3 linked regions of the Callithrix jacchus genome follow. The protein of the gene in region 1 purifies or fractionates together with the protein of each later gene. This does not show direct contact. Links are inferred from orthologs where the notes say so. Each region holds a gene or a part of one and is shown in the gene's direction. Other genes may lie near its edges. The genes, in order: ACTR2, CHURC1 and CORO1C.

Evidence for each region.
Region 2: the proteins of ACTR2 (region 1) and CHURC1 purify together in Homo sapiens (affinity purification with mass spectrometry; 4 studies listed by BioGRID and IntAct, with this or other methods). This does not show direct contact. The link is inferred for Callithrix jacchus from reciprocal best matches to the Homo sapiens genes ACTR2 and CHURC1.
Region 3: the proteins of ACTR2 (region 1) and CORO1C fractionate together in Homo sapiens (co-fractionation; 3 studies listed by BioGRID and IntAct, with this or other methods). This does not show direct contact. The link is inferred for Callithrix jacchus from reciprocal best matches to the Homo sapiens genes ACTR2 and CORO1C.

Annotation. Positions count from the first base shown.
Region 1 is NC_133515.1:48,687,021-48,698,246, reverse strand, and holds the start of ACTR2 (actin-related protein 2), read left to right. Parts: upstream 1-4,964; 5' UTR 4,965-5,082; coding exon 5,083-5,130; intron 5,131-11,226. UniProt on the Homo sapiens protein: ATP-binding component of the Arp2/3 complex, a multiprotein complex that mediates actin polymerization upon stimulation by nucleation-promoting factor (NPF).
Region 2 is NC_133509.1:99,577,661-99,588,733, forward strand, and holds the start of CHURC1 (protein Churchill), read left to right. Parts: upstream 1-5,358; 5' UTR 5,359-5,396; coding exon 5,397-5,435; intron 5,436-11,073. UniProt on the Homo sapiens protein: Transcriptional activator that mediates FGF signaling during neural development. Plays a role in the regulation of cell movement.
Region 3 is NC_133510.1:111,539,837-111,549,965, reverse strand, and holds the end of CORO1C (coronin-1C), read left to right. Parts: intron 1-1,062; coding exon 1,063-1,167; intron 1,168-3,093; coding exon 3,094-3,239; intron 3,240-6,122; coding exon 6,123-6,180; intron 6,181-6,292; coding exon 6,293-6,538; intron 6,539-7,631; coding exon 7,632-7,751; 3' UTR 7,752-10,048; downstream 10,049-10,129. UniProt on the Homo sapiens protein: Plays a role in directed cell migration by regulating the activation and subcellular location of RAC1. Increases the presence of activated RAC1 at the leading edge of migrating cells.

The DNA of each region.
Region 1 (11,226 bases):
TCTCTAGAGGAAAATATATAGCAATAAGTGCCCATATGAGGAGAATGGAGAGATCCAAAATTGACACCCTATCATCAAAATTGAAAGAGCTAGAGGAGCAAGATCAAAAAAACTCAAAACCCAGCAGAAGACAAGAAATAACTAAGATCAGAGCTGAACTGAAGGAGATAGAGACACGAAAAACCCTTCAAAAAATCAATAAATCCAAGAGCTGGTTTTTTGAAAAGATCAACAAAATAGACAGACCACTAGCCAGATTGATTAAAAAGAAAAGAGAGAACAACCAAATAGATACAATAAAAAATGATAAAGGGGAAATCACCACAGATTCCACAGAAATTCAAACCATCATCAGAGAATATTACAAACAACTCTATGCACATAAACTAGTAAACCTGGAAGAAATGGATAAATTCCTGGACTCCTGTGTCCTCCCAAGCCTAAACCAGGAGGAAGCTGAAACTATGAATAGACCAATAACAAGGTCAGAAGTTGAGGCAGCAATTAAGAGCCTACCACACAAAAAAAGCCCAGGTCCAGATGGGTTCACAGCCAAATTCTACCAGACACACAAAGAGGAGCTGGTACCATTCCTTCTGAACCTATTCCAAATAATCCAAAAAGAGGGAATCCTTCCCAAATCATTTTACGAGACCAATATGATCCTGATACCAAAACCCGGCAGAGACTCAACAAGAAAAGAAAACTCCAGGCCAATATCCATGATGAACATAGATGCAAAAATCTTCAATAAAATATTGGCAAGCTGATTGCAACAGCAAATCAAAAAACTTATCCATCATGATCAAGTAGGATTCATCCCGGGGATGTAAGGCTGGTTCAACATATGCAAGTCTATAAACGTAATTCACCACATAAACAGAACCAAAAACAAAAACCACATGATTATCTCAATTGACGCAGAGAAGGCATTTGACAAAATTCAACAGCCCGTTAGGCTAAAAACCCTCAATAAACTCGGTATCGATGGAACGTATCTCAAAGTAATAAAAGCTATTTACGACAAACCAACAGCCAATATCATACTGAATGGGCAAAAACTGGAAGCATTCCCTTTGAAATCCGGCACTAGACAAGGATGCCCTCTTTCACCACTCCTATTCAACATAGTACTGGAATTTCTAGCCAGAGCAATCAGGCAAGAAAAAGAAATAAAGGGTATTTAAATAGGAAAGGTGGAAGCCAAATTGTCTCTATTTGCAGATGACATGATAGTATACCTAGAAGACCCCATCGCCTCAGCCCAAAAACTCCTGAAACTGATAAGCAACTTCAGCAAAGTCTCAGGATATAAAATCAATGTGCAAAAATCACAAGCATTCGTCTACACCAATAACAGACTTAAAGAAAGCCAAATCAAGAACGAACTGCCATTCACAATTGCTACAAAAAGAATAAAATACCTAGGAATACAACTCACAAGGAACATAAGAGACCTCTTCAAGGAAAACTACAAACCACTGTCAACGAAATAAGAGAGGACACAAACAGATGGAGAAACATTCCATGTTCATGGTTAGGAAGAATTAATATCGTGAAAATGGCTATACTGCCCAAAGTAATTTACAGAATCAACGCTATCACCATCAAGCTACCATTGACGTTCTTCACAGAACTGGAAAAAAACACCATGAACTTCGTATGGAACCAAAAGAGAGCCCGCATAGCCAAGTCAATTCTAAGCAAAAAGAACACAGCGGGGGGCATCACACTACCGGATTTCAAACTATACTACAAGGTTACAGTAATCAAAACAGCATGGTACTGGTACCAAAACAGAGATATAGACCAATGGAACAAAACAGAGGCATCGGAGGCAACACAACATATCTACAACCATACAATCTTTGATAAACTTGACAAAAACAAGCAATGGGGAAAGGATTCCCTGTTTAACAAATGGTGTTGGGAAAACTGGCTAGCCATGTGCAGAAAGAAGAAACTGGACCCCTTCCTGACACCTTACACTAAAATTAACTCCAGATGAATTAAAGACTTAAACATAAGACCTGGCACCATAAAAACCCTAGAAGGAAATCTAGGCAAAACCAGCCAGGACATAGGAGTAGGCAAGGACTTCATGAACAAAACACCAAAAGCATTGGCAACAAAAGCCAAAATAGACAAATGGGACCTAATCAAACTCCACAGCTTCTGCACGGTAAAAGAAAGTCACTAGAGTGAATCGGCAACCAACAGAATGGGAACAAATTTTTGCAGTTTACCCATCTGACAAAGGGCTGATATCCAGAATTTACAAAGAACTAAAACAGATTTACAGGAAAAAAACAAACAAGCCCGTTCAAAAATGGGAAAAGGATATGAACAGACACTTTACAAAAGAAGACATATATGAGGCCAACAATCATATGAAAAAATGCTCATCATCACTGGTCATCAGAGAGATGCAAATCAAAACCACATTGAGATACCATCTCACGCCAGTTAGAATGGCGATCATTAAAAAATCTGGAGACAACAGATGCTGGAGAGGATGTGGAGAAAAAGGAACACTTTTACACTGCTGGTGGGAGTGTAAATTAGTTCAACCATTGTGGAAGACAGTGTGGCGATTCCTCAAGGCCTTAGAAATAGAAATTCCATTTGACCCAGCAATCCCATTACTGGGTATATATCCAAAGGACTATAAATCGTTCTACTATAAGGACACATGCACACGAATGTTCATTGCAGCACTGTCTACAATAGCAAAGACCTGGAATCAACCCAAATGCCCATTGATGATAGACAGGATTGGGAAAATGTGGCACATATACACCATGGAATATTATGCAGCAATCAGAAATGATGAGTTCGTGTCGTTTGTAGGGACATGGATGAATCTGGAGAACATCTTTCTCAGCAAACTGACACAAGAACAGAAAATGAAATACCGCATATTCTCACTCATAGGCGGGTGATGAAAAATGAGAACACATGGACACAGGGAGGGGAGTACTAAACACTGGGGTCTATTGGGGGGAAAAGGGGAGGGCCAGTGGGGGGGGGAGCTGGGGAGGGATAGCCTGGGGAGAAATGCCAAATGTGGGTAAAGGGGAGAAAGGAAGCAAAACACACTGCCATGTGTGTACCTATGCAACTGTCTTGTATGTTCTGCACATGTACCCCAAAACCTAAAATGTAATAAAAAACTTAATAAATAAAATAAAAATTAGCAATCCATTTAATTCCACAAAGAGGAAAAGTAAAAGAACACAGAAATGCTTGAGTTCAATTTGCTGAGACCAATAAAATGTACTTTCAAGAAAATTGCACAGCACTAGCACTAGAGCCACAAAAATAAGATGGATTTTATACTCAAGGAATTAATGAACAAACAAACTTTTCCGCAGACTGAGGTACTTCTCTCACTACTAAAGCAGATAAAGGGAAGAAATGTTCTCCTGAGACCTCCTACCTATTCTAACCTCTCAAATTTCCAACTGCAACAAATGGCAGCTTTATTTATCTATTTATATTTATCCATGTGTTTGGCGTTTCATATAAGATTAAATTTGAATAAAGCACTCTATGCTTTTATATAGGTTTGAAAATCACTAGTCTACTAAAAGAACAGTGAAAACTGAGAGGCAGCTATACTATAGAAAGAATACTGGATTGGGGGGTTCACGATTCATTTTATTCTATTGTTGAACATATACAGCCATGTTGAAGGCAAAGTTCTAGTTCTCAGCTCTCAAAAGGATGGCATTTTAAATGTGAATTTTAATGTCATTCATCCAATAAATATTTGTTGCATGTAATAAGCACAATAATGTTATTCATATGTTCATAGCAAAATAATAGCGAGGAAAGGGAGTAAGGAACATCCTGAGGATATCAGCTGTCATCAAAGATGTGACAAGCTGGGTCTCAGAGCACAAGTTTGCCAACCTATTTTTAAAAAGGAAAAAAATGTGGGTGAAGGGGAGAAGCAAAGCAAAGCACACTGCCATGTGCGTACCTACGCAACTGTCTTGCATGCTCTGCTCATGTACCCCAAAACCTAAAATCCAATAAAAAATAAAAATAAAAAAATTTAAAAAAAAAGGAAAAAAAATGAGGCATCGTAGATAGAATCATAGGTTCAAAAGAACAGAATTAGTAAGAAATAGCTACCACTGAATGAACATTTCTTCTATTCAGACTTATTCTCACCACATCCATGGAGATAGAAGTTATTCCCATGCACAGACAGGGGTATGCCAAAATTACAAAACTCGTGAGTGGCAGCACCACGTTTGAAACTGGAGTTGTCTGATTTCAAAGCCAAGGCTCTGGGTTCACAGCTGTACATGTACTGAAGAGGTGTGAAGAGACATGGGACTACTGGAAGAAGGAGGCAGTGAGCCAGAAGGCTGGAAATGCAGGCACCTGCTCTCTCTCACTTGACCATAGAGCAACTTGGGCAAAGGAGTGGGCTGAGATTGGAGTATGGAACAAATGCATGATTTCAAATAAGCGTGTGTGTATGCATCCCAGTTCTGTCCGCTGAAAAGGCCTAGAAGCAATGACACACCAAGCCCTGTTCAATGGTGGGGTCGGCCAGGACCTCCCAGGCTTGCTCCCGGTCCTTCCCGCCGGCTTCTCCGCCACATTCCATGCCACCGCAGAACCGGTGTCCTTCACCTGCCTGCGTCTTCTGCAGTTCGTTAAGCGGCGCCCTTAGTTTCTGTGACATTTCAGGGAGAAAGCCGCAGGACCCGCGACAACGTTGGCCGCCATTAACGCCCGGCGAAGCGCCGGGAACTAGAAGCAGAGAGGAAGAACCTGGGTAGGAAACGACCGTGACAGCCGAGCCGGAAGTGGAGCTGCGGGAGGCGCCTCGAAGCTTCTCCATTTTTTATTGGAGCTCACCGCTGCCAGTCGCGCTTCCCGCCCGTCCCACACGTTCCGCTCAGACATTCAGCTAAATGACGGGCGGAGCCGGGCGGCGACTTCCTGTTGGGGGAAAAAAGTTAGGCCGAAGGAGGGGCCGCGAAGAGAGAGGAAGAAAAGAAAACGGCCGGGCGGCGGCGGCTGTAGGTTGTGGGGCGGCAGCGGCTCTCACCTGGGCGGACGATGGACAGCCAGGGCAGGAAGGTGGTGGTGTGCGACAACGGCACCGGGGTAAGCGCCTGGCGAGGAGGCCTTGGCGGCCATAGGCGCAGGCGGGGACGTGCAGCGGGCGCGCGGGCCCTCGGCCCCCTGGGCTGCACCTCCAGGCCCTAGGGGCCAAGGGGCGCGGGGCGGTGCTTCCCACCTTCGCGGGCAGGAGGGCGAGTCGGCCGTGCCCTGGTCTCCCCTTAGCCTGCCGCCCCCGCAGCCTTCCGGGTCGAGGCGGCTGGCGAGACCAACACTGGACGCGGAGCCTACTGACCGCTAGGCAGGGACCGGCTCCGCGCTTGAGCGGGGCAATTGGGCTAAAGCGGACCGAGGGGTAAAAGACTAAAGCGGCCGAAGGGGTAAAAGGCTCGGTTTGTGTGTTTCGAGAAGTGCTCTTTTCCCCAGGGCCGCCGGTGTATGAAAAGAAGAAACACCTAGAGGCCTTCCTCTTCCTGTATAGTTGAAGATATACCAAACGAGAAGCAGGAAACGGGTTTACTTTAAAAAGAAAAAGAAAAAAAAAGGAAGTGCTGTCAAGGAGTGTGGGCCTCAGACCTTTCGCTGTGTTTGTTGTTTTTGTTTGTTTTTTTCGAGGGAAGGGGGTCCAGATCGGCTGCGCATCGTTCACTTTTTGTTCTACAAACTGGTGGTTTGGCCCTACAGGCCTGCGGACACCAGCATGTTCCATTGGATGATTTGGGGACCTAGGGCCCGGCAGTGTTAATTCCTCTGACCTTAGGGGAAGTTAATTAGCGTTGGTTACCCGCCCCCAGCTTCCCTTTCCCCCTTAGTCTCATAATAAAGGTAATATTAGACTTTAAGATTAAAAAAAGGTAAAATCTGACCAAAGCACTGATTTAGAAACTATTTGAAAGTTGTTTCTGTAATCCCAGCACTTTGTAGGCCGAGGCGGGCGGATCACGTAAGGTTAGGAGTTCAAGACTAGCCCGGCCAATGTGGTGAAAGCCCGTCTGTTCTAAAAATACAAAAATTAGCCGGGCGTGGTGGCGCATGCCAGTAATCCCAGCTGCTCAGGAGGCTGAGGCTGAGGCAGGAGAATCGCTTGAGGCTGGGAAGCAGAGGTTGCAGTGAGCTGAGATGCGCCAGTGCACTCCCAGCCTGGTCGACAGGAGTGAAACTCTGTCTCAATAAAACAAAAAAAGAAAGAAGGTTGTTTCGAACCTCTCTCGCCAGATTTTAAAAAAATTTGTTTCGGGTAGCAAAGTCAGCAAATTAGAAGATGGCAATATTACTTACTCTGGATGACTGATGTGATGATTTCTAACCATTTTAATGTTGCAACATTTTATGACTTTTCTCCCCTCCCATAAATATAATATATGAATTAAAATACATTTTACTTGAACAAAACATTTTGGAATCTGAATTGTTGAGGGGAAAAAAAGCTGGTATTTACTGCCGTAATAATGCCTTTGATTAGATTTGTTACAGAATTTTACAAGCAATAGTTATGCCAGCTTCATCTGAACTGTGTTAAAAATGGACTAGAATAAAAAGTGGTAACATAATGAGGCCAGGCACGGTGCCTCATGCCTGTAATCCCAGCACTTTGGGAGGCTGAGGAGGGCAGATCACGTTAGGTCAGGAGTTTGAGACCACCCTGGCCAACATAGTGAAACCGTGTCTCTACTAAAAATACAGAAATTAGCTGGACATGGTGTTGGGCACCTGTAATCCCAGCTACTCAGGAGGTTGAGGCAGGAGAATCGCTTGAACCTGGGAGGCGGAGGTTGCAGTGAGCCGAGATCATGCCACTCACTCCACCCTGGGAGACAGAGTGAGACTAAGTCTCAAAAAATAAAAAATTAAAAAATATATAATATATATAATGGGACAGTTATTCAAAATGTAATACTTTTTAAAAGATCCACTGCTATGGAAACATGGTTAAGATTTGTTAAGTTGAAAAAGATTTTAGAATGATTCAGTTTAAGTATGTGTTCTTTAGTAAAAATGTATGTCCACAAACCTGTATCTGCATATGAAAGTTTTCTCTATCATCTAGGCTGGAGTGCAGTGGCGCAATCTCGGCTCACTGCAAGCTCCTTCTCCCAGGCTGAAGCGATTCTCCTGCCTCAGCCTCCCTAGTAGCTGGGATTACAGGCCTGTGCCTCCACACTCAGTTAATGTTTCCATTTTTAGTAGAGACAGGGTCTGGCCTTGAACTCCTGACCTCAGGTAATCCATCCACCTTGGCCTTCCAAAGTTCTGGGATTACAGGTGTGAGCCACTATGCAGGCCTTAATGTTTTATTTTTGTAGAGACTGGGCCTCCCTATGTTACCCAGGCTGGTCTTGAACTCCTGGGCTCAAGAGATCTGCCCACCTCCGCCTAAAGTGCTAGGATTACATGCTTGAGCCACTGCACCCAGCTATCATAAGCTAATGTTACGTTACTAATCCGTTAGTAGTTTTTGTTTTGTTTTGTTTTTGAGATGGAGTCTTGATCTGTCACCAGGCTGGAGTGCAGTGGTACAATCTCAGTTCACTGCAACCTCCCATCTCCTGGGTTCAAGCGATTCCTCTGCCTCAGCCTTCTAAGTAGCTGGGACTACAGGTGCCTGCCACCATGCCCGGCTAATGTTTTGTATTTTAGTAGAGATGGGGTTTCACCATGGCCAGGATGGTCTAGATCTCCTGACCTTGGGATCTACCTGCCTTGACCTCCCACAGGCTTGAAAGACCGTGCCTGGCCTCTGTTAGTTTAGCTAACATTAGAAAGCTGATTTTAGGCCAGGCGCGGTGACTTATGCCTGTAATACCAGCACTTTGGGAGGCCGAGGTGTGAAGATCACTTGATGGCCAGGAGTTCGAGACCAGCCTGGCCAACATGGTGAAACCCCGTGTCTACTAAAAATACAAAAATTAGCCAGGCATGGTGGCGGATGCCTGGAATCTCAGCTACTTGGGAGGCTGAGGCAGGAGAATTGCTTGAACCTGGGAGGCAGAGGTTGCCGTGAGCCGAGATTACGCCACTGCACCCCAGCGTGGGTGACAGAGTGAGACTCCATCGCAAAAAAAAGAAAGCTGGTTGTAATATTATTGATTAGTCTTATGTTGAATCCATATTTTTAAGATCCTTTTTCTAATACAAATGATCAGTTGCTGTGATATAAATGAAAAAAGTGAGTGTAGTTAATTCAAATAAAAATTTGTTGTTATGTTTCTAGTTATTTTTAAATTTTATCCAGATTTTCTATGGGCATGATTGGTTTCAACCGAAGAAACAGTGGTGATAAAATATGTGAATCATATAACAGGAATGCTGTGATAGTTCTGAGTATGTAGTATGTAGAGAACTAGGAATCAATTAGATTGTATATTTCTTACCACTTGTAGACATAGTCATCTTGATTGTATTTAGGTACCTGAAGTTATAATGATTCCTTTATAATTAAATGTTCAAGAAGATATTCAGATGTAATTTTTGAAGAAGTTATGGAAATAGTTGTTACCCTAAAGTTTTCTCTTTTGTTCCTTACACACCTTAGGTTTTAAAATGGTAGGCTGGCTGGGTGCGGTTCCTCATGCCTGTAATTCCAGCATTTTGGGAAGCTGAGATGAGAGGATTTCTTGAGGCCAAGAGTTTGAGATCAGCCTGGGTTAATATAACAAGACCCCATATCTAGTAAAAAATAAAATAAAAATAAAATTATAGGCTTTTTGAAACGTTGATTTTTTTTTTTTTTTTTTTTAAACCTCTCTGGCAGACCCATATTGAATATTCTAGGACAGGAGTGTCCAATCTTTTGGCGTCCCTGGGCCATGTTAGAAGAAGAATAATTATCTTGGGCCACATAACATACACTAACACTAATGATAGCTAATGAACTAAAAAAATGGCCCAAAAAAATTTACAATGTTTTAAGAAAGTTTGTGAATTTGTGTTGGGCCTCATGTAGCTCATGGGCCATGGGTTGGACAGGCTTGCCTGGGAACAAGTTTGTTCTTACAATAACGTGCCTGATGTTGGTCCTGCTCAATTTTCTATCTCCCAGCTTGACCAGTGTCTCCTTAGGGTTGCCCAGAGGAGGAAAACTCATCTGATCCAATAATTTATGTGGATTTTAACCATTCAAACCTCCTTCTGGAGTCAGCTGGTCCAGATAGGTGAAAATCAAGAGGTCTGTGAAACTCTAGGTTTGGGTCTCCTTCAAGAGCTGGGCCCAGGCCCCTGGTGTTGTTTATCTTGGAGATAAGACTTGGGAGATTTCATCAGCAGTGAGTTAGATCACCAACAAAATGAAGGTTTCCCCAGTGCTTGCTATGTTGCTAGTACAGTGCTTAATAAGGTCTAGTCATACAGAGAAGGTTATAGTACCAGAATAATTGGATTTGCATTTATATAATTGACATTTGTAGTTGATTGTGGCCTGCTTTATCAGGCTTTGCTAGTTTATATGTTTAATTTAGTAGTGTTTGAAACAGAAACAAATCAAAACCAAATATGGTTTTACCGTGTAATATGCTTTGGGATAAGTAGAATAAATATTTTGGTGGCCTAAGATAAGAATAGTCACTGTGCAGTTTAATTACTAAATACATCAATATCATCAGATAAAATTAGTAAGGGGAAAATAAAAATTAAATTAGGTCCAAATGGGGCTTTAGAAATTCCAGGTTATTTTTTTGAAGAGAAAAAAATGTACTTTTAGAGCAGATGTAGATGAAATTTTTCATTTGTGCCTGACAGAACATTATACTGTTCTTACCATTTGATGACTCAGTGGGAAGTAAGGGAACTAGTTTAAACCACACTGCTATGAAGAGGAAACTATATATGGTAAAAGCTATTTCTTAAACACAGCCTTTAGGCACACAATGAAAGAACAAAGTCACTAAGTTTTAAAATGATTGACATGGAGGAGGAATTTGAGGGATTAAGATGATATCAATGATAGTTTAGAAAATAATGTTTTCTTTGTACTTTATCATATCATGTTTAGATTTTTTTTTTTTTTTAAGATGGTGTCTCCCTCTGTCACCCGGGCTAGAGTGCAGTGGTGGGATCTTGGCTCACTGTAGCCTCCAGCTCCTGGGTTCAAGCTCTTCTCCTGCCTCAGCCTCCTGAGTAGCTGAGATCACAGGTGCACACCACCACACCTGGCTATTTTTTGTATTTTTGGTAGAGATTGGGCTTTACCATGCTGGCCAGGCTGGTCTTTAACTCCTGATCTCAGGTGATCCACCTACCTCGGCCTCCCAAAATGCTGGGATTACAGATGTGAGCCACTGCACCTGGCCTAGATTTTTAAAAAAAATACTTATTATTTTTTGCAGAAGTAATCAGATTGTCATTTTCATATTATTGAAAAATTAGGGCCAGGCACAGTGGCTGATGCCTATAATCCCAGAACTTTGGGAGGTAAGGGTGGGAAGATTGCTTGAGGCTGGGAATTCAAGACCAGGCTGAGTAACCTGTCTTGGGAGACTGATGTGGGGGTATCACCTGAGCCTGGGGAGGTTGGGCCTAGGTTGTGAGACCCCTGTCTCTACAAAAAATAATATAATTTTAGAATTATAATTTTTATTTTTGCTGCTCCTTGCAGAGCAGTATTACCCCAGTGGCAGAGTGCCCAGAGTAGCCAGTATAATTAAAAAAGAAAAAAATTAATTTTATTATTATTATTTTTGAGATAGTGTCTCTCTCTATCACCCAGGCTGGAGTGCATTCATGGAATCTCACCTCACTGCAACCTCTGTCTCCCAGGTTCAAGCAATTTTCCTGCCTCAGCCTCCTGAGTAGCTGGGATTACAGGCATGCACCACCACGCCCAGCCAATTTTGTAGTTTTAGTAGAGATGGAGTTTCACCATATTGGCCAGGCTGCTCTCAAACTCCTGACCTCAAATGATACACCTGACTTGGCCTCTCAAAGCCCCAGGCCCAGCCTTTTTTTTTTTTTTAAAAGACAGGGTCTCACTCTCTCACTCAGAGTGAGTAGAACAAACATGGCTCAACGCATACTCAACCTTCCTGGGCTCAGATGATACTCCCACATCAGCCTTTGAGGTTTCTGGGACTATGGGTATGTATCACCATGCCTGGCTAATTTTTGTATTTTTTTGTAGAAATTGGGTTTTGCTTTGTAGCCCCAGGC
Region 2 (11,073 bases), on another chromosome or scaffold:
AGTAACTAGTAACAAACTTGAAATACTAGAATAGCCTGTAAGCCTTTATCCTAGCTAGACTTAAGCAAATGAATTTCTTTTAACTCATCTTTCGAACCTATATCCACACTAGTTTTAAAGATATTTTAAGTTATATTTTTTTCTCTTTGTTTTTCAGAGCTACTTCTTATTTGGGGGCTACTTTTAAAAATTGAGGTATAATTCACAAGGGGCTGCCTTTTTTTTTTATAAGACTTCTTATAACTATTGCTGAATGTTTTGTTCTAATCTTCTAAGCAGGGCCATTTTATTTTTTGGAGTCACTTCTAAATTCATGTGGTCATTAACTTTGTAGACTATTTTGGATATGAGTGCTGATACAAATTAAAACCCAAGTAGACCTCATTGTATGTCACTGCATGAATGTTGGCAAACAACATAAGGAATACCTTGCTCATAGTACAGTGACTTCTGGACTGAAAAGCTGAGGAAGAAACTCAATTTTCTTTTTTGCATACATCAGAAAAACAACTACTATGTCCAGTTCCCTGACTGACCTCAGAAGATGAAGTGAACACATAGTGTTAGTTCAGATTGAAGAAATTATCTGAATCTTGGTGTGTGTGGATTTATAATCTACATGTAATATTACCTAAATTAGATATTTACAGTTTCATATGTGTGCATAGGCTCCTTCACACCTATTTCCATATTTATTAGTTATTGAACTTTCTAAACTAGAATTGAAGCATTACAACAATTTTTTTGCACCAATTTTATAAACTTAAAATAGCATGCAGTGCAATGCATGTTATTTTTCTGAGGCAAACCAAAGGTAATTTTCTCAAGGTTTTTGCAGCATTTGATGGGGGATCTTTTATACATTTGTAATAGACAAAAAATAAACCAGACTGAAAATCATTTTTAAAGTCTAAAACCATGAACCAAGTTTTTTATTCAAATTGCACAGGATAAGTTTAAACTTAAATTGCATTTAATTAACCAATATGAATGTACTTCTGTAAGCATAGTTATGTTGAAATAAAGTTTTAAAAAGCAATAAATAAATAAATGTATTTGAAAGCCTGGAGTTTATTATCTGAATGGGGAAGTAGCCTGAAGTTGGGCGGGAGAACCCTAAAAGTAAGAAAGTCTAACTCTGCCACTGAGCTAAGATAAAAACCTGCTGACCCTGAACTTCTAGGACTGCTTTTGGACCTGTCCTCAGCCAGGCTCACAGTACTCACTGTGTTAACCCAGAATTACTGCTAATTCATTCATATCTGGCAGGTGACATCAGGTGAAGATAACCACAGCCTCTTATTTCACACTTTGCCTGACACAATGGAAAGAATGACCTATACCTTCACCAAGCAGATGAGCTTCTGCTTGGAGATGAGCATCCTCTCCTCCATCTGTGAAACTGGCCTGAGGATGTTACCATAAAGGCTGGGGCACTTTTTCATTCCTTTCAACAAAAGATGAAAAGAATAGATAGGATCAGCATTGTATCCTTTTAGTCTCTTGGCATTATAAGGCAGAAGAAAAAACAGAAGGTGTTGAAAGGAGATTCAAACTGCACTCTTTAGGGAAATCCCTCATCTTGCCCCAGGGATGTAGTTTAGCACATGTAATTGAGCCAGCAGTTAGGGCCATTTTAACATTTAGATTTTCTTTAATCAATTTCTTTAACAAGAGATGATCTCATACATGAACTGCAACATTGTATGTTTGATATACATCATGGACATCACCTATTTATTAAAGACACATAAAAGCAGGGTATTGTCCCAGAGAAAATTCTGTTAGAATATAAAACTGATTCTGCAAACTTTATTTTATATAGTTACCTATAAGAGAAAAGGAAATAGATTTTTTTTTTTTACTGTTTTTCTTATGTTACACCACTACTTGTTCATTTCATTCAGGTGCTAATCTCCTTCTGCTTTGTAGCCTCTATTTTCCTTTCTTCCATCTGTCAGCCTCAGATAATTTTGTATTCCCATTACCACAATCACACTTTAATTTCTGGTCCTGTCTACCTCCTCCCCCGAGTCTCATTTCCTGCCTCTCTTCTCTGAATGTGGCTAGATTTAAATGGAGGACTTCACTGGACAGATAGCCCTGAGCTCTTGAGCTTTTGTGACCATGAATATGATGATCATTTTTTTTATCTTGCTCATTTTAATAACAAGTTATGATATAACTCTGGGAAGGTAAAAAAATTTTATAAACATGTAGATTGTCTTTCGTGCCTTAGATTGTGAAATCAATTCATACTAATGGGTATACTCTTTAAGATCTATGACTGTAGTGTAATTTTTAATTAATTAATTTTTGTCGTGTACATGCTCAGTGTTGAGGCAGAAAGCTATACATCTCCCCCTTGTGGTTCCTGTTAGCGTCTGCCTTTCGCATGTCCATTTTTTTTTACACTTCCATTAAGTCCCAATAAACTACAGCTAAAATAATCTTCTTGTTTATTTATTTATTTATTTAGGGACAAGATCTCGCTCTGTTGTCCAGGCAGGGGTGCAGTGGCATGATCATAGCTCATTACAGCCTCAAACTCCTAGGCTCAAGAGATCTTCCTGCCTCAGCCTCTTGAGTAGCTAGGACTGCAGGTGCACACCACCACACTAGGTTAATTTTTAAATTTTTTGTAAAGACAGAGTCTCACTATGTTGCCCAAGCCGGTCTTGAACTCCTGGCTTCAAGCTATCCTCCTGCCTTGGCCTCCCAAAGTGCTGGGATGACAGGTGTGAGCCTTCATCATTTTAAACCTAAAATAATTTTAAACCACAACTCTGGCAACACTCTCCTGCTCAAACCTTCTGTGGCTCTCTACCACATGCAGAATACAATCCAAACTCCTTGGCATGGTCCACCTGAAATTTCTATACCAAACAAAAGAAAACTCTGCTTTTTGAAATCCTATACATGCTTTAAGGCCCAAATTCCTCTTTCCTAATCCTCTACGTGGGTGAAGTCTCACCATTTTGTGTTCTTATACCCCAATCTGCCAGTAATTATTGGTACTCATGCTCATTTTATCTCTCAGACTAAACTGTGAGTATCTGGGGAATAGGAAAGGATTAAAAGTCAGTATTAGGCTTTAAAAACAGAGAAAGCATTTAAAAATGGATGAAGGGAATTGAGCCAGGGGCCGAGGCTCATGCCTGTAATCCCAGCACTTTGAGAGGCAGAGGCAGGTGGATCACTTGAGACCAGGAGATTGAGACCAGCCTGGCCAACATGGTGAAACCCCATCTCTACTAAAAATACAAAAAATTAGCTGGCTGTGGTTGTGTGCTCCTGTAGTCCCAGCCACTTGGGAGGCTGAGGCATGAGAATCATTTGAACCCAGGAAGCAGAGGTTGCAGTGAGCCGAGATCATGCCACTGCACTCCAGCCTGGGTGACAGAGTGAGACTTCCTTAAAAAAGAAAAATAAAGGCCGGGTGCGGTGGCTCAAGCCTGTAATCCCAGCACTTTGGGAGGCCGAGGCGGGCAGATCACCAGATCAAGAGATCGAAACCATCCTGGCCAACATGATGAAACCCTGTCTCTAAAAATACAAAAATTAGCTAGGTGTGGTGGCGTCCGCCAGTAGTCCCAGCTACTTGGGAGGCTGAGGCAGGAGAATTGCTTGAACTGGGGAGGTGGAGGTTGCAGTGAGCCGAGATTGTGCCACTGCACTCCAGCCTGGCGCCTGGCAACAGAACAAGACTCTGTCTCAAAAAAAAAAAAGAAAAGAAAAGAAAATGAATAGACTAGCCTTGTCCAATAGGAATATGAAAGGTACATGTATAATTTTTAATTTTCTAGTAGCCACATTAAAAAAAGAACCAGGTGAAATTAATTTAATAATACATTTATTTAACCCAGTATGTCAAAAATTATTTCAACATAACCATATACATTTATTAAGATTTTTACATATTTTAATACTAAATCTTCCAAATCTAGCATGCAGAATGTACATACAGCACAATCTCAGTTCAAACTTGCCGTATTTAAAGTGCTTTAGAGCCATAAGTGGCTAGCGCTACTGTATTAGATAGAAATTGAGCCAAGGACAGCAACAGAGTCCTAGCTCTGGCCGACTACTACAAAGTAGCTTTCTTACTGTAGACAAGTCCTTTAACCACTCACTTCTGTGGTTTCCTCATATGAAAAGAGAAGACATATTTTTCCTACCAATCACATAGGGTCGAAATAGCATAAAATTACAAACTGAAATGAGGACACTTTTGAAAGGCTGAAAGTGTCATACAAATGGGAGGCATTATAATTATTCCAATAATAAACTCTGATGGCTCTATATCATGCAGTGTTTCTTAGCACACCTACGATTTTTAATAACAGTTGCAGATACTTACTAAAAGTTGAAATACTAAAGGTTACAATTTCAATGCTTTCGTGGAAAAATAATTCCCATAGTAACAACCCCAATTAAACTGGTGTGCTTTGAAATGGTTATTAATCTCTTTTTTAAGGCATCTGGATCCCAGAGTCTCCCCTGCTTCCTAATCTTTCTTCACTGACATGACAGCAATAAAGCAGGGCTGAGGGAAGATGCTGATTTCCCATTGGAGTAAGGGGGTGTGATGAAGACACATTGTTCTGATGCAATTAGATAGTTGCCAATAATAAGATGCTTTCAATACATAGAGAAAGAAAGAGGCGGGGCGCCAATCAAAAGGATTTTGAGATCCGCAGGATTGGGAAACGATGCAGGGAAAACTCACCTGGTCATTTTTCTATTTACATAGTGCTTGCCCGCCACTGAGGTGCATCTGTGACACCTGAGAGAGACAGAAATACGTTACTCATTGCTATGTCCCCCAGAGGTCTCTGGAACGGCTAATTATTACTAATATTTTAAGTGTTCGTTTTAGGAGATTTTCTGCAGCGCTCCAAGTGTCTCTTCCCACACTTCAGTTACTGTTTATCCACCTGCTGAGATCTGGTCTCTTATTCACTTTCATTGCCTTAAGAAATGGTACAGAAAGGTATTTATTAACATTTCAGATTTGTATATAGGGTAGCGAGAAATAATTCCCTCTCGTGTGTTGTGATTTGCCTTTCTTGTCAGCTTAAGCTCAGGAAGGCGTCTGTGAGAACTTCGCTCAGCCCAAAATCCGCTTTCCCTTCCCCCCACATCTGTCAGTGCATAAGGTTTCTTCCCCTTTCTTCAAAGGTTTCTGGATCCCCACCCTTTGCAGACACACGGTGCCAAGGAGACTGTGCCCGGCCCTGACAACAGTTGCTAAGGGGCGGAGATTTCGGATCGGTTCCCGAGACGGAAGACCTAGGAGTCGAGTACTTGGGCGCATGCGGTAACCGTATCTCAGCTCTCGCGAGGTTTCGTCTTCCCGGAAGCATTGGAGGACGTTTCCTGTTGACTGCGTCGCGATGTGTGGAGACTGTGTGGAGAAGGAATATCCCAACCGGGTGAGCGACTGGGCTCTCTTTTGGCCGGCGGCAGGCCCCCGAGGTGTCTCACACCCCAGGCTGGCCTTCCCAGAGAGGCCGTACGTGGGGCGGACTCGCCCACACTGCCGGTCCCGTTGACCCGGTAGCGGTATTTAGGTTCACCGGGGATGGCCTGTGGCGGTCAGCACCTCTGGTCTCCGCCCTGGCGGCTGACCTCAGCTGTCGTGCCGGTTCGCTTGAGCTCCAGGGAGGAGCAGAGGAACCCCACCGCCATCACAACCCCGGTCGACAACCGAAAGACTCCCCCACCCCCACTTCCGGTCTCATTCTCAAGCTCGATTTGATGAAGTTCAGTTTTCTTACAGAATTCTAGCGCTGCAGGGGACCTCAGAGGTCATCTGTTCTAACACTTTTGCAGATGAAGAAACCGACGTCCAGAGAGGGAAAATCACTTTCCCAAGTTCACGTTGTAGTTGCATGGATGAGAGCCAGGACTAGAATTCAGATTTCCTGGCTGTTACTGCCTTTTAAATCTCAGTTACTTTAAGGCTCAGGAGGTTGCAAAGCTTGTCTCTTCTCATTCATTCAGGGTATCTTTGTTGAACATTTATATATGTGTAGCTAGATTGCTTTAGGCCAGAAAGGGATTCTTTATTTCTCCTCTCTTTTTTGGAGACAGGTTCCCAGTGTTGCCCAGGCTGGTCTCAAATTCCTGGGATCAAGCGATCCTCCTGCCTTGGCCTCCCAAAGTGCTGAAATTACAGGCGTGAGCCACCGCGTCCGGCTGGATCTTTTATTTCAAATTAGAAATAAAAAGGCAGCTTTGGTGCTGCTTAAGAGCTCACCGTTTTGGGGAGTATGCGACTAACAAAAAATGAGTAGATCGGTTCAGAAATGCTATTCAAGTTTAGGGAAAGGGGAGGGCAATAGGAGATAGTGTTGTTCTCCCCTGCGAAAAGGTGGACATCCTCTAAGACTTGAAGGACAGTTGTAATTAGGGTAGAAAACAAGGTAAGGAGGAGCTGGAGGATGGGGGGAAATTACAGGAATGGAATTGGTGCATTGGATGGGAGGGAGAAAATCTCTATAGTTGCTTAAGCCTTAGTATCTTATGGGTAATACTTAGGCTTTTGAGAAGCATATATAACAGTATATTTTCTCATACAATACAACCACTTTGGAAAAACGGGTGAGCCTTATACAGAAATGACCCAGCGATTCCCATTCTAGAAAAATGAATGTGTATATGCTTCTGAAGACTTTTATAAGAGTGTTCATAACAGCATTATTTTTATGGTGGTAGATTGGAAAAATAACTGTGATATATTCATAGAGTGGAACACATGAATGAATGAGTAACGGAAGTGAATGAAGTAGTTCAGTAGTCCTCTACCAGGAGTGATTTTTGCCTCCTAGGAGACATTTGGCAATATCCGGAGACATTTTTTGGTTGTGGGAAAGCACTACTGACTTCTAATGGATGGTGCAGGGGATGCCACTAAACATCCTGCAATACATGGGACAGCCACCACAACAAAGTATCACTCCCAATGTCAATAGTGCAAGGTTGAGAAACCCTGAATTATAACAATGAAATTACAATTACACAGCAGTAATTTCAATTACTGCTAAGGGATTAGGGTGTGATCAAGAAGGGTCAAATGAGAAAAAGTCTTGTGGGGTGCAAGCAGTGTTTTATTTCTTGATTTGGGTGATGGTTCTGTAGATGTTCTCTTTATAATTATTATGCTCTACATTTATGTTTCATGTACTTTACTGTGTTCTATTTCATTTTTTTAAGTTTAAAAAGATTTTTACAAAGCCAGTAATAAACATGGGATAGTACAAGACCATGAGGGAGAAGTTAGCAGTAGAGAATATTAAAGAGATTAGGTTGGATTCTTAAGAGTGGAGTTATTGTAAAACTTAAAAGTTATATTGAGAAGCTTAGAGTTTACATTTTATGCATTGGACAACCATCAAAATTTTAATAGAGAAATGATTCTGAAGTCTGTTATTTAGGAAAATGAATCTTATGGCTGATGGTAGGATGGAGGGTGTGTTAAGAGAGAACTCCACAGAACATTTGAGGAGCTATGGCAACAGTGTAAGCATGAGATAATGAAGACCTTATTTCGAAGAAAGAATTAGGCCGGGCACAGTGCTCACACCTGGAATCCCAGCACTTCGGGAGGCTAAGGCGGGTGGATCGCTTGAGCCCAGGAGTTTTGAGACCAGTCTAGGAAACATGGTAAAACGCTGTCTCTACAAAAAATACAAATAGGCCGGGCGCGGTGGCTCACGCCTGTAATCCCAACACTTTGGGAGGCTGAGGTGGGTGGGTCACCTCAGTTCCAGAGTTTGAGACCAATTTGGCCAACATGGTGAAACCCCATCTCTACTAAAAATACAAAAATTAGCTGGGTGTGGTGGCTCACTCCTGTAATCCCAGCTACTTGCAAGACTGAGGCAGAAGAATCATTTGAACTCAGGAAGTGGAGGTTGCAGTGAACCGAGATCATGTCACTGCACTCTAGCCTGGGCAACAAGAGGGAAACATTGTCTCAAAAAAAAAAAACAAAAAACAAATTAGCCAGGCATGGTGGCATGCACCTACAGTCCCAGCTACTCGGAGGCTAAGGTGGGAGGATCACTTGAGCCCAGGAGGAAGAGGTTGTAGTGTGCCATGATTGTGCCACTGTACTCGCTCCGGGGCAACAGAGCGAGACCCTGTCTCAAAAAAGAAAAAAAGAATAAGATTCAATCAGTTTAATGCAGAAGAGAATAAGGGGAGAGCTATATGTGATCACATGATCTCAGTTTTCTATCTAGGCAGCTGGGAAATTGGAAGTATCATTACAGAAATTGGAGGCATATGGGAAGATAAAACAAAAATTCAGGCCAAATGGTCAAATTGTTATTAATATGCTTCACCTGAGATTGAGAATATCTGAAGGGTCAAGTGAAGATATAAGATTGCAGTTTGGATACAACTACATAGATAAATGAGTCAGTTAAATACACGTGTCAAAATAGGATTTGTTCGCTGAGATTGAGAATATCTGAAGGGTCAAGTGAAGATATAAGATTGCAGTTTGGGTACAACTACATAGATAAATGAGTCAGTTAAATACAAATGTCAAAATAGGATTTGTTCGCTGAGGAAAAAAATGTAGTGAATCAGGGACTGAGCTCCAAAGACTAAATTATCTTCAGATATGAAAATAAAGTATAAGGAAGAATAGTAGAAAAAAAGGATTGAGGTGATTGGAAAACCAGGAGAGTACCTTTCAAAGGCACTTTTCTCTTTTTTTATTCTGTTCTAAAATAATTAAAAGACTGTCATGAAGAAGAATTAAACTTTTCTTTGGAATTTTAGAAGGCAGATTTAGAAATAATTACGGGGTGGATGTTATGGGTCTTAGACTTTGAATCAGAATAAAGAACTTTCTGACATTTCAAAATGGAATGAGTAACTCTTAGAGGAATTAAACTGTCTTTCGATTGTTCAGTAGAGACTTAACTGACCATTTAGAATGTCAAGGACCCTTCCAACTCAGGGGTTCTTTGAAGTCATGACCTATTTTTAAATTCAGTAAGAGCAGAAGCCACTGCTTTTGCTAAGCTTTGCAGAAGCTTAGCAAAGAAGGGCAATAAGAAGATTGTGGGCTGGGCCTGGTGGCTCACACCTATAATCCTCACACTTTGGGAAACCAAGGCACAAGGATGGCTTGAGCCTAGGAATTTGAGACCAGCCTGGGCAACATAGTGAGATCCTATCCTTACTAAAAATGAAAATTAAAAAAACATAAGCCCAGCGTGGTGGTGTGTTCCTGTAGTTCCACCTACTCGGGAAGAGGATAAGGTGGGAGGATTTCCTGAACCCAGGAGTTCGAAGCTCCAGTAAGCTAAGATCACGCCACTGTGCTCCAGCCTGGGCGACAGAGCAAAACCCAATCTACTTACAAAAACAAATTCATTTGTTGGGAAGCTCTAAATATAGAATGAGTAAGTATTAGTTAATTATTTATCTTTGATTACATAAAGTTTGGAATTTTGTGATTTATTTTTACAGACTAGAAATATACAGTACTGAATTCCTAATGGGGCTCTGGCATACTTGCTTGTAACGTTAACACTGAGAATTTGAACTCAGACATGAGTCAAGTTGGAAATGAATCACACTAATTTTCTGAACCCAAATTTTTTTACTCAACTGTGAACCACGTTTTTTTTCCTTCAGAAAAGCATTAGCAAACCAGTCAGAACTAGAATTATGCATATTCTAAAATTACTGAACAGGCACAAAACTGTAATAAGGTATTTTTCATATCAAACTGGAAATGAAACATATTTCATATATTTTAATTTCAGCTTTAAATTTTGTTAGTAATGCAACAGCAATACAGAAATATATTATTAGATTAACAGTGGGAAAAAATCAGTGTTAGTGATATGTTTAAATTTACAATTACATGCTTTATATTTTTCATTTAAAGATAAGCCACCAAGCTTCATACACTCAAGTTGTTGCTTAGTAGATAACCTTAAACCAGATTTAATTAAATGAGTAATATATAATTAGTAAAACAGTTGTATGTAAGAATGCCTTAAAATGATACTCTACATCTTAAAACTTATAAGTGTCTATGTTTAAAAAGTATACTCTTCAATCAATTACCTAACCTTCCACTTAAGACAATGAAAAAACAGGCCGTGTGCGGTGGCTCACATCTGTAAACCCAGCACTTTGGGAGGCTGCAGCAAGCAGATCAGGAGTTTGAGACCAGCCTGGCCAACATGGTGAAACCCTGTCTCTACCAAACAATACAAAAATTAGCCTGGTGTGGTTTTGTGTGCCTGTAGTCCCAGCTACTTGGGAGGCTGAGGTGGGACAATCACTTTAACCCAGATGTGGAGGTTGCAGCACTCCAGCCTGGGCAGCAGAGTGAGACCATGTCTCAATAAAAAAAAAAAAAAAAAGGCAATGGAAAAACGAGCAAACTAAACCCAGAGCAAGTAGAAGGAAGGAAATAATAAGGATTAGACTAGAAAATACTGAGAGAATACAATAGAGAAAACAAAACCAAAAATTGGTTCTTTAATAAAAACTGTATTTTCTGTTTGTAAATATTCCCTGGCAAAATATATACATTCACTATTAACTTGTACCATCTGAAATAAATTGCTGGGAAAAAAATGATGCAGTCTTTATCAGAATAATTACAGCTTTCTCACATTTACAAGATTTTATAACATACTCTTTTTTAGAGCCTCACTCTATTGCCCAGGCTGGAGTGCAGTGGTGCGATCTCAGCTCACTGCAACTTCCATTGCCCAGGTTCTAGTGATTTTCCTGCCTCAGCCTCCCAAGTAGCTGGGACTATAGGTGCACGCCACTGTACTTAGCTAATTTTGTATTTTTAGTAGAGATGGGGTTTCATCATCTTGGCCAGGCTAGTCTCAAACTCCTGACCTCATAATCCACCCGCCTTGACCTCCCAAAATGCTAGGCTTACAGGTGTGAGCCACCGTGCCTGGCCTATAACATACTCTTATGCTAATTATCCTCATAATTTTCGGCCATTTCTTCTTGCACACTTGTATACCTTTACAAATCCTTAACCAGGATTTATCTGAATCACATTTTCTAAGG
Region 3 (10,129 bases), on another chromosome or scaffold:
AGATTATGGGATTCTTAGTGTAGTTTTCTAAGGGCCTGCTAGTCTTAAATTGGATGTGAAGCTCTTATCCTCATTGGAGACTTACTGGTAAATCTATTTCAAAGACATATTGTTGATACTCCTGAAGAGGCTGTTGTATATTTTTTTGAAAAGAATGTATGAAGAATCTAGTGTTTTGGATTTGGGAAATAAATTCATATATCATAAAGAATATGATCAGTTGTCTAAATCAAAATGGTCATGCTTAGAAAAATATTCATAATTAGCTTAAGTGGGGAAAAATACAACATACATGGTATTATCTCAATCTCTGTGTACATATGTCAGAAGGAAATAGATCAAAATAGTTTCTGCCACTCACTGGGCTATAGGATTTTGGAATATGAAATGATTTTTATGTTGTTTGTTATATCTTTCAACTTTTTAAAATCACAGATATTTGTTTTATAATTTAAAAAGTACTTTCAAAAAAGAGAATAGGCTGGGCGCAGTGGCTCATGCCTGTAATCTGAGCACTTTGGGAGGCTGAGGCAGCTGGATCATTTGAGGCCTGGAGTTCGAGACCAGCCTGGTCAACATGGTGAAACTGTATCTACTAAAAATACAAAAACTAGCCGGCCATGGTGGTGCGTGGCTGTAATCCCAGCTACTCAGGAGGTTGAGGCAAGAGAATCTTTTGAATCTGAAAGGTGGAGGTTGCAGTGAGCCAAGATCACACCACTGCACTCCAGCCTGGGCAACAGAAGGAGACTCAGTCTCAAAAAAAAAAAAAAAAAAAAAGAAAACAGTCACAAAGCAGAAGGGTTGTGTCATCGTCATGAAATCACACCGATGTATGCGTGCATTATGTTGTCAAATCAGTGAAATTTTTAGTGAGTTGGATCTCATTTAGCATTCCTGTTGCTGTTTACATGTATGAGTATTGCATGTGCATAGTTCAAACATCTATTATTTTAGGAAAATGGCTCACTTAATTGGGATAGAAGAATGTATAATAAGATTATAAAAATGTATTTTTTAAAAAATGTATACACACACACATATGTATCATTTTCCCCCCAGAAAAATATGCAGGAACCAATCGCGCTTCATGAGATGGACACTAGCAATGGGGTGTTGCTGCCTTTCTATGACCCTGACACCAGCATCATTTACTTATGTGGAAAGGTAAACAGCAATTTTGATGTTTGGTGTTAAATCCTGTAAGTGGAAACATTTATCCTTCAGAGATTTAGAGGATGGGTAATGTGTTGTGTCTGTTTAGTTTTTCTAATTTCTGTGTGTATGTTATAAGCTAAGGACAGATAATTTGGTATTTTTAGGTCTTGAGACTGGACCGTGTATAGCTTGCCAGTTGTGTAGTGACAACATGCCATGTTCCATACTTTTGACTGAAGCAGGGGTTGGGTTGGGGTGCTGGGGAAAATGCTCCAATCAGGGCACTCTTGTGAAGAAAAGAAGACACACTGGTGTTTCTTCTGCACCTAGCAGTGCTACCTGATTGGTGATTTTAGATTTATCTGTGCTTGTGTCAGGGATGGGTAACCAGTTGGCCACATCTAATGCTGAAATTTGTTGGATAACCCTAGATGAGCACGTGTATACTTAGTACCACACACCATGGACTTGTTAAGAGAATGGTGCTTTGTGGATGCAAACTTTTGAGGGCCTCAAAGGCTCTCTGGAGGGTTCTTGTTCCTGGGGTTCAGAGCTAGGACCCTGGGCTTGAAGATATGAGTCCTGACTAAAGCTCAGGGGTGATAGCAATTATAGGGAGACTCCTCACTGAACTCCAAAAACCTTCCCCCTGCCTTATGAGCCCAGCATGCCTAGGCTGTGGGTAGCTTTATTATTTCATTTTTGTAGGTGGGAGCATTATAATTCCTAATATTTTTATAGGCTCAATTTCCCTTAGAACTTTTTGTGGTTGAAATAAACAAATTAATAGCAATAGAGCTGTTGATATACTCCCTAGACCTGTTAGATAGCCCTTCACTGGGTGGTAAAGCTGGTGATGTTTGCTTTTCATAGCTGATTGAGCATGCTGCAGACCTGCTTTACGTTTTTATAATAGGTCAGTTTCTTAGAAACGGTGATCTTGTCTGTTTCCTTGGAAGCCATTTTACTGCAGATGTTAACAGGTGTTAAGCACATTAACCTTGCCGTTGTTGCCCTTGACTGAAGTAAAACGCACAAAATGATCAGTTACTCAGATATTAGTAGCACAAGATGGAAAATTCTTTTGGGTATGCAGAAAATGACTAGCAAGGGTTTAGCTTCTTTTCCATTGCTTTAGATATCTCAATCATTGAGACAAATGGAAATCTGAGAACTGGGAGCACTGTTGAGGCATGATACCACCTAGCTATTTTTGTCTTCTTCTTTCTTGCATATATGTATATCTCCTCTCTGCCAGACAAGATTGCCTTCATTGTTCAGGTTGGTGTAACTGTGTGACAATTATTTGTACTTAGACTAACATATGCTTCAGCACTCAAAAACATCTGACCATTCTAAGCAAGAAAGTAGTGGAATTGTACACATGGCAATGAGATGGCATTTCTGAGGATACTCACTAAAACTGAGTTTCTTCATTAGAAAAATCTCATTTTTTGTCATCATCTGAATGCCTGATATTGGTGCCCTTAGGTCTGTGAACAGCATTGCGCTATGCCAGTGAATGAATACTTAAATCAAGAATTGCATTCTTGGCAATTCTCTTAGTCTTTGTTTGTTTGTTTGTTTGTTTTTTGAAGTCGAATTGCAATGTAGCTGTTTAGCAGAGGCATTAACATTTTTGCTCTAACTCTGGCCTGGTACCTAGGCTCAGTGGAGTAAAATTAGAGCCTTTGGTAGGAGGCTGAGGAGACCACTTAAAAGGCATGCTAGCATTTGATAAGTGAGGGGTTACTTTATGAAGAAAAGAAACTGTCATATGCTTTATCAATTTTATCATATGCAAGCCTCTTTATGAAGAAACAAAGGTTAGCCACTGAAGTAGGGTCCCAACTAATGCTGGGTTTATAGAGATACCCACATAATCCAGATGTTTCAGTAACAATCAGACACAAACTTGTCTCTGATTTCTTACAGGGCGACAGCAGTATTCGCTATTTTGAGATAACGGATGAGTCCCCGTATGTCCACTACCTCAACACATTCAGCAGCAAGGAGCCTCAGAGAGGGATGGGTTACATGCCCAAGAGGGGACTTGATGTGAACAAATGTGAGATTGCCAGGTAAAAAATAGAGATTGTCATTATTCTAGGTTGGTGTAACTGTGTGACAATTATTTGTACTCAGACTAGCATATACTTCGGATCTCAAAAATATCTTACTATTCTAAGTAAGAAATTAGTAGACTTACACTCATTGCCATGAGATGGCACTTTCTGAGGATACTCACTAAAACCAAATTTCTTCATTATGAAAAAGTCTCACTTTTTTTTTTTTTTTTTTTGAGGCGGAGTCTCACTCTGTTGCCCAAGCAGGAGTGCAGTGTGTGATCTCAGCTCACTGCAACCTCCACCTCCCTGGTTCAAGCGATTTTCCTGCCTTAGCCTTCCAAGTAGCTGAGATTATAGGCACCCACCACCACACCAAGCAAATCTCACTTTTTATCATCATCTGATTGCCCGATGGTACCAGAGCAATACAGCTACAAGAAATTCTATGAAGCCCAAGTCTTTCTATCCTTGTGTGTACTATGGAATTAATACTTTGTTTCCTGCCTATACAACTGAAGTGTAACAATTACGTGGAATACTGGGGTGTATTGCACAGCTACTGAAATAGTGAAACATGCATCTTTAATCTTCAAGCTGAGGCCATGGTCAGTGTTCTCTGGTGGGCAAGTAGGGGAGAGCCTGGCTTGGGGATGGAAAAGGGGGTGGTTTTCTTACTCTATGAGTGGAAGAACTGGGGTCAAAACTGTATTTGGTGCCCCACTGGTCCTAAACTAGAGAAAGCAAAGATCCTATAATGGGGTGGTAGCTTGATTTAGGAAATTCAGCTTTGATACAATTTCTTCCTCTCTGTACTACTTCTGAGTTTTAAAAAATTTATATTCTATGATGTCAGTGGGCTTCCTAAGGGATAGGCTTTTTTCTCATGCTAGTCAACAAAGATACCCTTTGAGACTCAGTGACCACTGGTCACTTCAAACAGCAGAGTAATTAGCACTACATCATCACAGGTAAGGTCATACCACACATTTCTGTAACACTGTGTTTATATGGACTTTTAAAAACCTTGCTGTTCTAGTCTCACAGTTAAAGAATTGATACTTATAACTTTCAAAATACAAGTAAAAGAATTTTTATGTAAGTTCTTTTTTTACATTAATCTCTACTAAAAATACAGAAATCAGCTGGGCGTGGTGGCGTGTGCCTGTACCAGCTACTCGGGAGGCTGAGGCAGTAGAATCACTTGAACCCGAGAGGTGGAGGTTGCAGTGAGCCAAGATCACACCACTGCACTTCAGCTTGGGCGACAAAGTGAGACTCTATCTCAGAAAACAAACAAAAAACCCAAACTCTCTGTTGGATTTTTTTCCCTAATAGATGGAATAATGAAGGAAGGCTGTTAAAGGTAATTGAAAATGGTTTAAACCAAACTAATCAAAATGTGGTTCAAAGTAGGCTGACTTTGAACTGATGATTACATCCAGTATTTCGAAACACATTTGTTGTCATCTAAAAGTTCAACAGACTAAACACAGTTGTTCAGAATGTCTCCTGTTTCTGAAGTGTTTCTTGAGCATTTATTATATGCCAGGTACTGTGCTAGATATGCTACATGCTACCTTTTTCACTTCTCATAACAATCCTATGTGGTAGATGCTACTTTTATCTCCATTTTATGGATGAAGAACTTGCAGCTTGGTAAGGTAGTCATACTCTCACGGGTTTTAGTAGTAGAGATGGAAGTCAAAGCCAGGTCAGGATTTTTAATCATTGTACTAACTGCAGAATTTTCATTAAATCAGTCTTTAAAAATGTTTTTGGGCCAGGAGTGGTGACTTACCCTCTAATCCCAACATTTTGGGAGGCCAGGGTGGGAGGATCCCTTGAGCCTGGGAGTTCAAGAGCAATATGGGCAATCTAGTGAGACTTGTCTCTACAAAACATTAAGAAGTTAGCAAGGCATGGTAGTCTGTACCTGTGGTCCCAGTTATTGCAGAGGCTGAGGTGGGAGGATTTGCTTGAGCGCAGGAGGTCAAGGCCTCAGTGAGCTTGTGCCACTGCACTCCAGCCTGGGTAATAGAGCAAGATCCTGTCTTTAAAAAAAAAAAAAAGTTTTTGGTTTATCTGGGGCCTTTGGTTTTTGGTTGAAATAGTAAACAGGCACATTTGATACAACCTTCTTTTAAGAGGATGATGATTTTACAAACACCTTTACCACCACCCTGAGCTCTTCTCAGCTTTTGTTCCCCTGGGTGTTAGAGCAATGTATCTGCCAGGCTGTCTTCACTGGACTCCTGCCCAGTTTCAAATGCCAAAGGCTGCAGGTTTTGCAGGAGAAATGAGTTTCACTTGTTTTGCATATTTGATGTGTCAGTGTCTTCTCTGACTTAAACTCTTAAAATTCAGAAAACATTTCCCCAGTAACATTTACACCTACCCTTAACTCCCCCCTTGCACAGAACCATTTGATCTGGTGATCTGGCCAGAATACTCACTAAGACTACCTCTCTTGCCAGGAGCTTTAGAGAGAATTTTTTATTGTTTCTCATCTTGACTGAAAAAGAAAATTGTCTTGTTCTCTCCTGTATGTTGACATGGTAATTTTTTCACAAGTGAGTCAGTTTCAGGGTTGCTATTATTCCATCACAGTTTATCTGCCCCCCAGATAATTGGCATTTGCCATCATAATACCTAGACCTCTACTCATGGTTCTTGTCTCCAGTCTGCCATTTCCTAGCATTCTGACTCTCGGCTTTCGTTCTCTCATCTGTCAACCCAGAACACTAAGTTTTGCCTCTTCCCAGGGTGGATCAGATGTGGGGATGGGTGAAGAAACACTTGACATTTCAGACAGCTTTGTAGAAAAGTCATTATTAATCCTGTTACTCAGCCTCATATTTCACTTAATACAACTTTGCCTTTATTTCCCCTCTGAAGATTCTTCAAACTTCATGAGAGAAAGTGTGAACCTATCATCATGACTGTTCCCAGGAAGGTGAGTGCCTAGTTTTCTAAACAATCCATGTTTTAAACATATGTAAAAATAAAATTCAAAAATTCCAGGCCATTCTTATTCCTGACCCGTGGGTGCCAAATGTCTCTTGTAGTCTGACCTTTTCCAAGATGACCTGTATCCTGACACAGCGGGGCCAGAAGCTGCGCTGGAGGCAGAAGAGTGGTTCGAGGGCAAGAATGCAGACCCAATCCTCATCTCCTTGAAGCATGGGTACATTCCAGGCAAAAACAGGGATCTCAAGGTGGTAAAGAAGAACATTTTGGATAGCAAGCCCACTGCAAACAAGAAGTGCGACCTGATCAGCGTCCCCAAGAAAACCACAGACACCGCCAGTGTGGTGAGGGCCCCTAGAGTGCGGGGGTGCTTGGCTGGTTCAGGCTTTATCTTCTGTAAAGTGCTTATGGTCCAGGGCATTGGCGAGGACTGTCTCAGCTGGGTGCACAGGGGTTTTCAGTAAATGAAAAAGTGGGAGAAGGTTGTAGGTCATGTGATGGTGGTCGTTTGTGGCCACACTTGCCTCCTCTAATGGAGTTAAAACTCCTTTAGCCCCATTAAAGGAGCCAAGTGTGGCCACAAACCATCATGACTGGGATAGGTGTTAGTCTCCTACCACTTCTGAGTGTGAACAGGAACCTCTTGGGTTTTTCCTGTCTTTTGCAAAACTAGTTTAATCCTTTCCTGTTTTGGGTAGAAATAAAATATCATGGGAGCATGGGTTCGTAGGCACCAGGGAGAGGAGGTCCCTGGAAGGAGGGAGTGCCAAGTGTTCAGATATAGCTGAGTGGCTATGACAGAAGGATCTGGCTGTGTGGGGATGATGGAAACAAGGGGGATTTAGGCAAGAGCTGTTTGGGTGGGGCAATGGGAATTGAGCCTGCTCTTAACTCACTGTGGCCACTGGAGAGTGCTGCTATTGCCAGGAGAGCAGGTCCTATGGAAGAGAGGGGGAGTGGGCACACAGGGCAAGGGTCTCACTCCTAAGAAGGAGCCTCTCTCACAGATGGCAGGAGCTCTGTAGCTTCTGGGAGAATCTCTGCTTGCTCTGGTCAGATAGAAGTTACTCTTGATGGAATGATTGGGGTGGTTAGGATGTAGGGCAGCCTTGAAGGAGCTATAGTCTAATTGTGTTTTGTCCTGTAGTCTAATTGTGACCCAGGAGACCCTTTAAGTAAATGCACAGGCCTCAGGATCAGAAGTGGCACTGTGACACACTGTTGTTTTGCTACGGGGTTTCAGATGGATTTGCCAGTGCTCATTGCGTTCAAAGCCCCAGGTGCAGTAGGGCTTTGACTTTTCTTTTTAGCTTGGTGACTGTGACTTGCCGTTTGCAAAACAGAAAATTACATTTTATGTCTTACAAGTTTTGAACTGTGTTGAACTTTGTTTACTGCATTTTAGTCACTACCTCCTTTTTTTGTTTGTTTTCTTAGCAAAATGAAGCCAAGTTGGATGAGATTTTAAAAGAGATCAAATCTATAAAAGACACAATCTGCAATCAAGATGAGCGTATTTCCAAGTTAGAACAGCAGATGGCGAAGATAGCAGCCTGAAGTTCCCACCCCCACCCCTACAAAAAATGGGAGCAAGAACTTGTGCTTGGGAGCTGGTTGTTGGTGTGGTCCTAGGGAGGGCGGAAGGGAGGCACTGCCATTTGGAGACATTCCATTTCAGATTTGTCAACCAGCGATAGGCCACATTCCAGTAAGAACTCAATTTGTCTCCTGAATTAACAAAACGTGATTTAAAAGCTGACCTTTTTATCAGAAAGCTTTTTTGATGTTTTAAGTGTTATGTGACTTGCTGAACTTTCAAAAAAAGTGCTACTTTTAAAATCCCAGACATTCTGAATTTTAGAAAACAAACTAATTCTGATTGTGTCGTGCCCAATTACCCCCACTTTTTTTTAATATATAGGGACCAATGCCACATTGCTTTTTATATTTCTTTCTTTTTTAATGTTGCCAAAACCAAAAGTAGCTTTGTTTTCCTTTGTATTTTGCTACTTTGCAGTATTTGTGTGGTTTTTTTCCCTTAATTTGAAAGGGACAGCACCATGTATGTTTATAAACTAAATGAAGATAAGATATTATTTTGTATAAACATTCATCTGAGAACAATCAGAGCAGTAGCCACATGGTGCTGACTCCTTCGTAGCACAAAGGTCTTGATGACTGTACAACAGGAAGACTTGAAAAATCACGTGGATTCATAGTACCACCCTTCTCATTTCATGGAGTCTTCTGATCAAAAAAGCTCTTATCGTATTTCTTCCTTTCCTTTCTCTTTTCTAGAAATTGAGTGTTTGTACCAGAATGGAATTTTGCTTCTTCGTTATCCTGTGCTTCAGATGATTATAATCTAACCCAAACTAGCATGTGTTTCTGCAGTTTGTTACACACCTAGGACCTACTGCATTCATCACTTTAAACATCATGTTTCAGGTTTTGGTCAATACTTGACAAGGGTGCCTGGGACAGGAAGACCTGTGTATAGCTGAGTGTTCCTTCTTGCCCTTTTCAGCAACTTGCCCAGCTCTTGAGTGCAGTGGTGGGGACTAAAAATGAGGGCATGTGGAGGGGAGTATTTGTGCTGGGTGATCCTGTTTCCCCGTGCTGTCCCCATGCTCTCCTCATGCTGTACTGGAAGAGGAAGTGGCTCTCCTTCCACCAACAAAGCTCCTGCTCTACCCTCTTCCTCACATGTGCTGTAACCTCTCAGGGCTCCCCCAGCCATTCCTTCTTTCCTTCCTGCCGTTTAGCTCTAACCACATTAAGCTAAGACGAGGCCAGAGGTGCGATGGAATTGAATATTGAGACTGAGGAGAATGATCGAGAGTGAAGCAGAAACAGGAACGCAGACCTCTGCTGTAGCTTTAGTGTGAACAAACGTGTCCCTCTGCACAACTAACCTGCTCTGCCTCTCCATCTCACACTAAGGCTATGTCAAAGCACAGAGCCTCCCCGGACTCGGAGTGGGGTCAGAGACTGAGCTCTGGTCGCTTATTCATTCCTTGGGTAGCTAGAGCTTTGCCCCATTTCCAATTTCTCATATTGCATGCTTGGGAAACAAGATTTAAGGGGCCTGTGTTTTGGAAGGGTGGTCTGTGATTGAACGTGAAATGTGTAGTGCCATTGGGACCACAAAGGGAACTCTTTCACATGCTTGTGCTGGTGTGGACATGGGCCTGGCAGGAAACGTCTGTATACAGGGAGCCAGGGTGAGGGCAGAGTGTGGTGATGGCTGAACTTGGAGTAATGTTCGTGTAGAAAAGGTACCATGTTCTTATCCAGCCAATATTGGGAATGCTGTCTCCACAATTTCAGGGCGTCTGAATGTTTGATGTGGTTTCGTGTGTGTGTGTATTTGTGTGTTTCATATTGAAGTGGATCATGAAATGTAAAGAAAACAATCATGACATTGACTTATATTCAAACCTGTATTTGTTTCCTTATCATCAGAATCTGCCGAGGACCTTTGTGTCTGAGATTCAGAAATGTTTGAAAGTTCCGATACTGAATTAATGAAGTAAACAAAGTTGTTGTTGATAGTGAAACACCGTAGGGTATGTGGTTCCAAGAGAAGGGGAGGGCGAGGGAGAGTGCCCCTGATCTTAGTTTGTAGCTTACGACTTATTTAATGAATGAATGCCCAGACAGGCTCAGAGTAGGCACCCTAAACATTGTGGTGGATTGTTTTCCTGTTTTGTCTTTTTTTTTTTTTTTTTTTATAGCCACAACATCCCAGAAGAGGACAGTGAATTATTCCTAGGTCGGCTCTTATAGAGTGGCCAATGTTCTGTCAAAACACTTGCTTCCATTTTCAGAGATAAAAATCATTGATTACAAAATGTGTTTGTGTTTATTTCACACCTTGGCTGTCTGTGAGGCAGCCCCCACCTCTCTGCCTGACACAGCTTCTCTGACTGCTG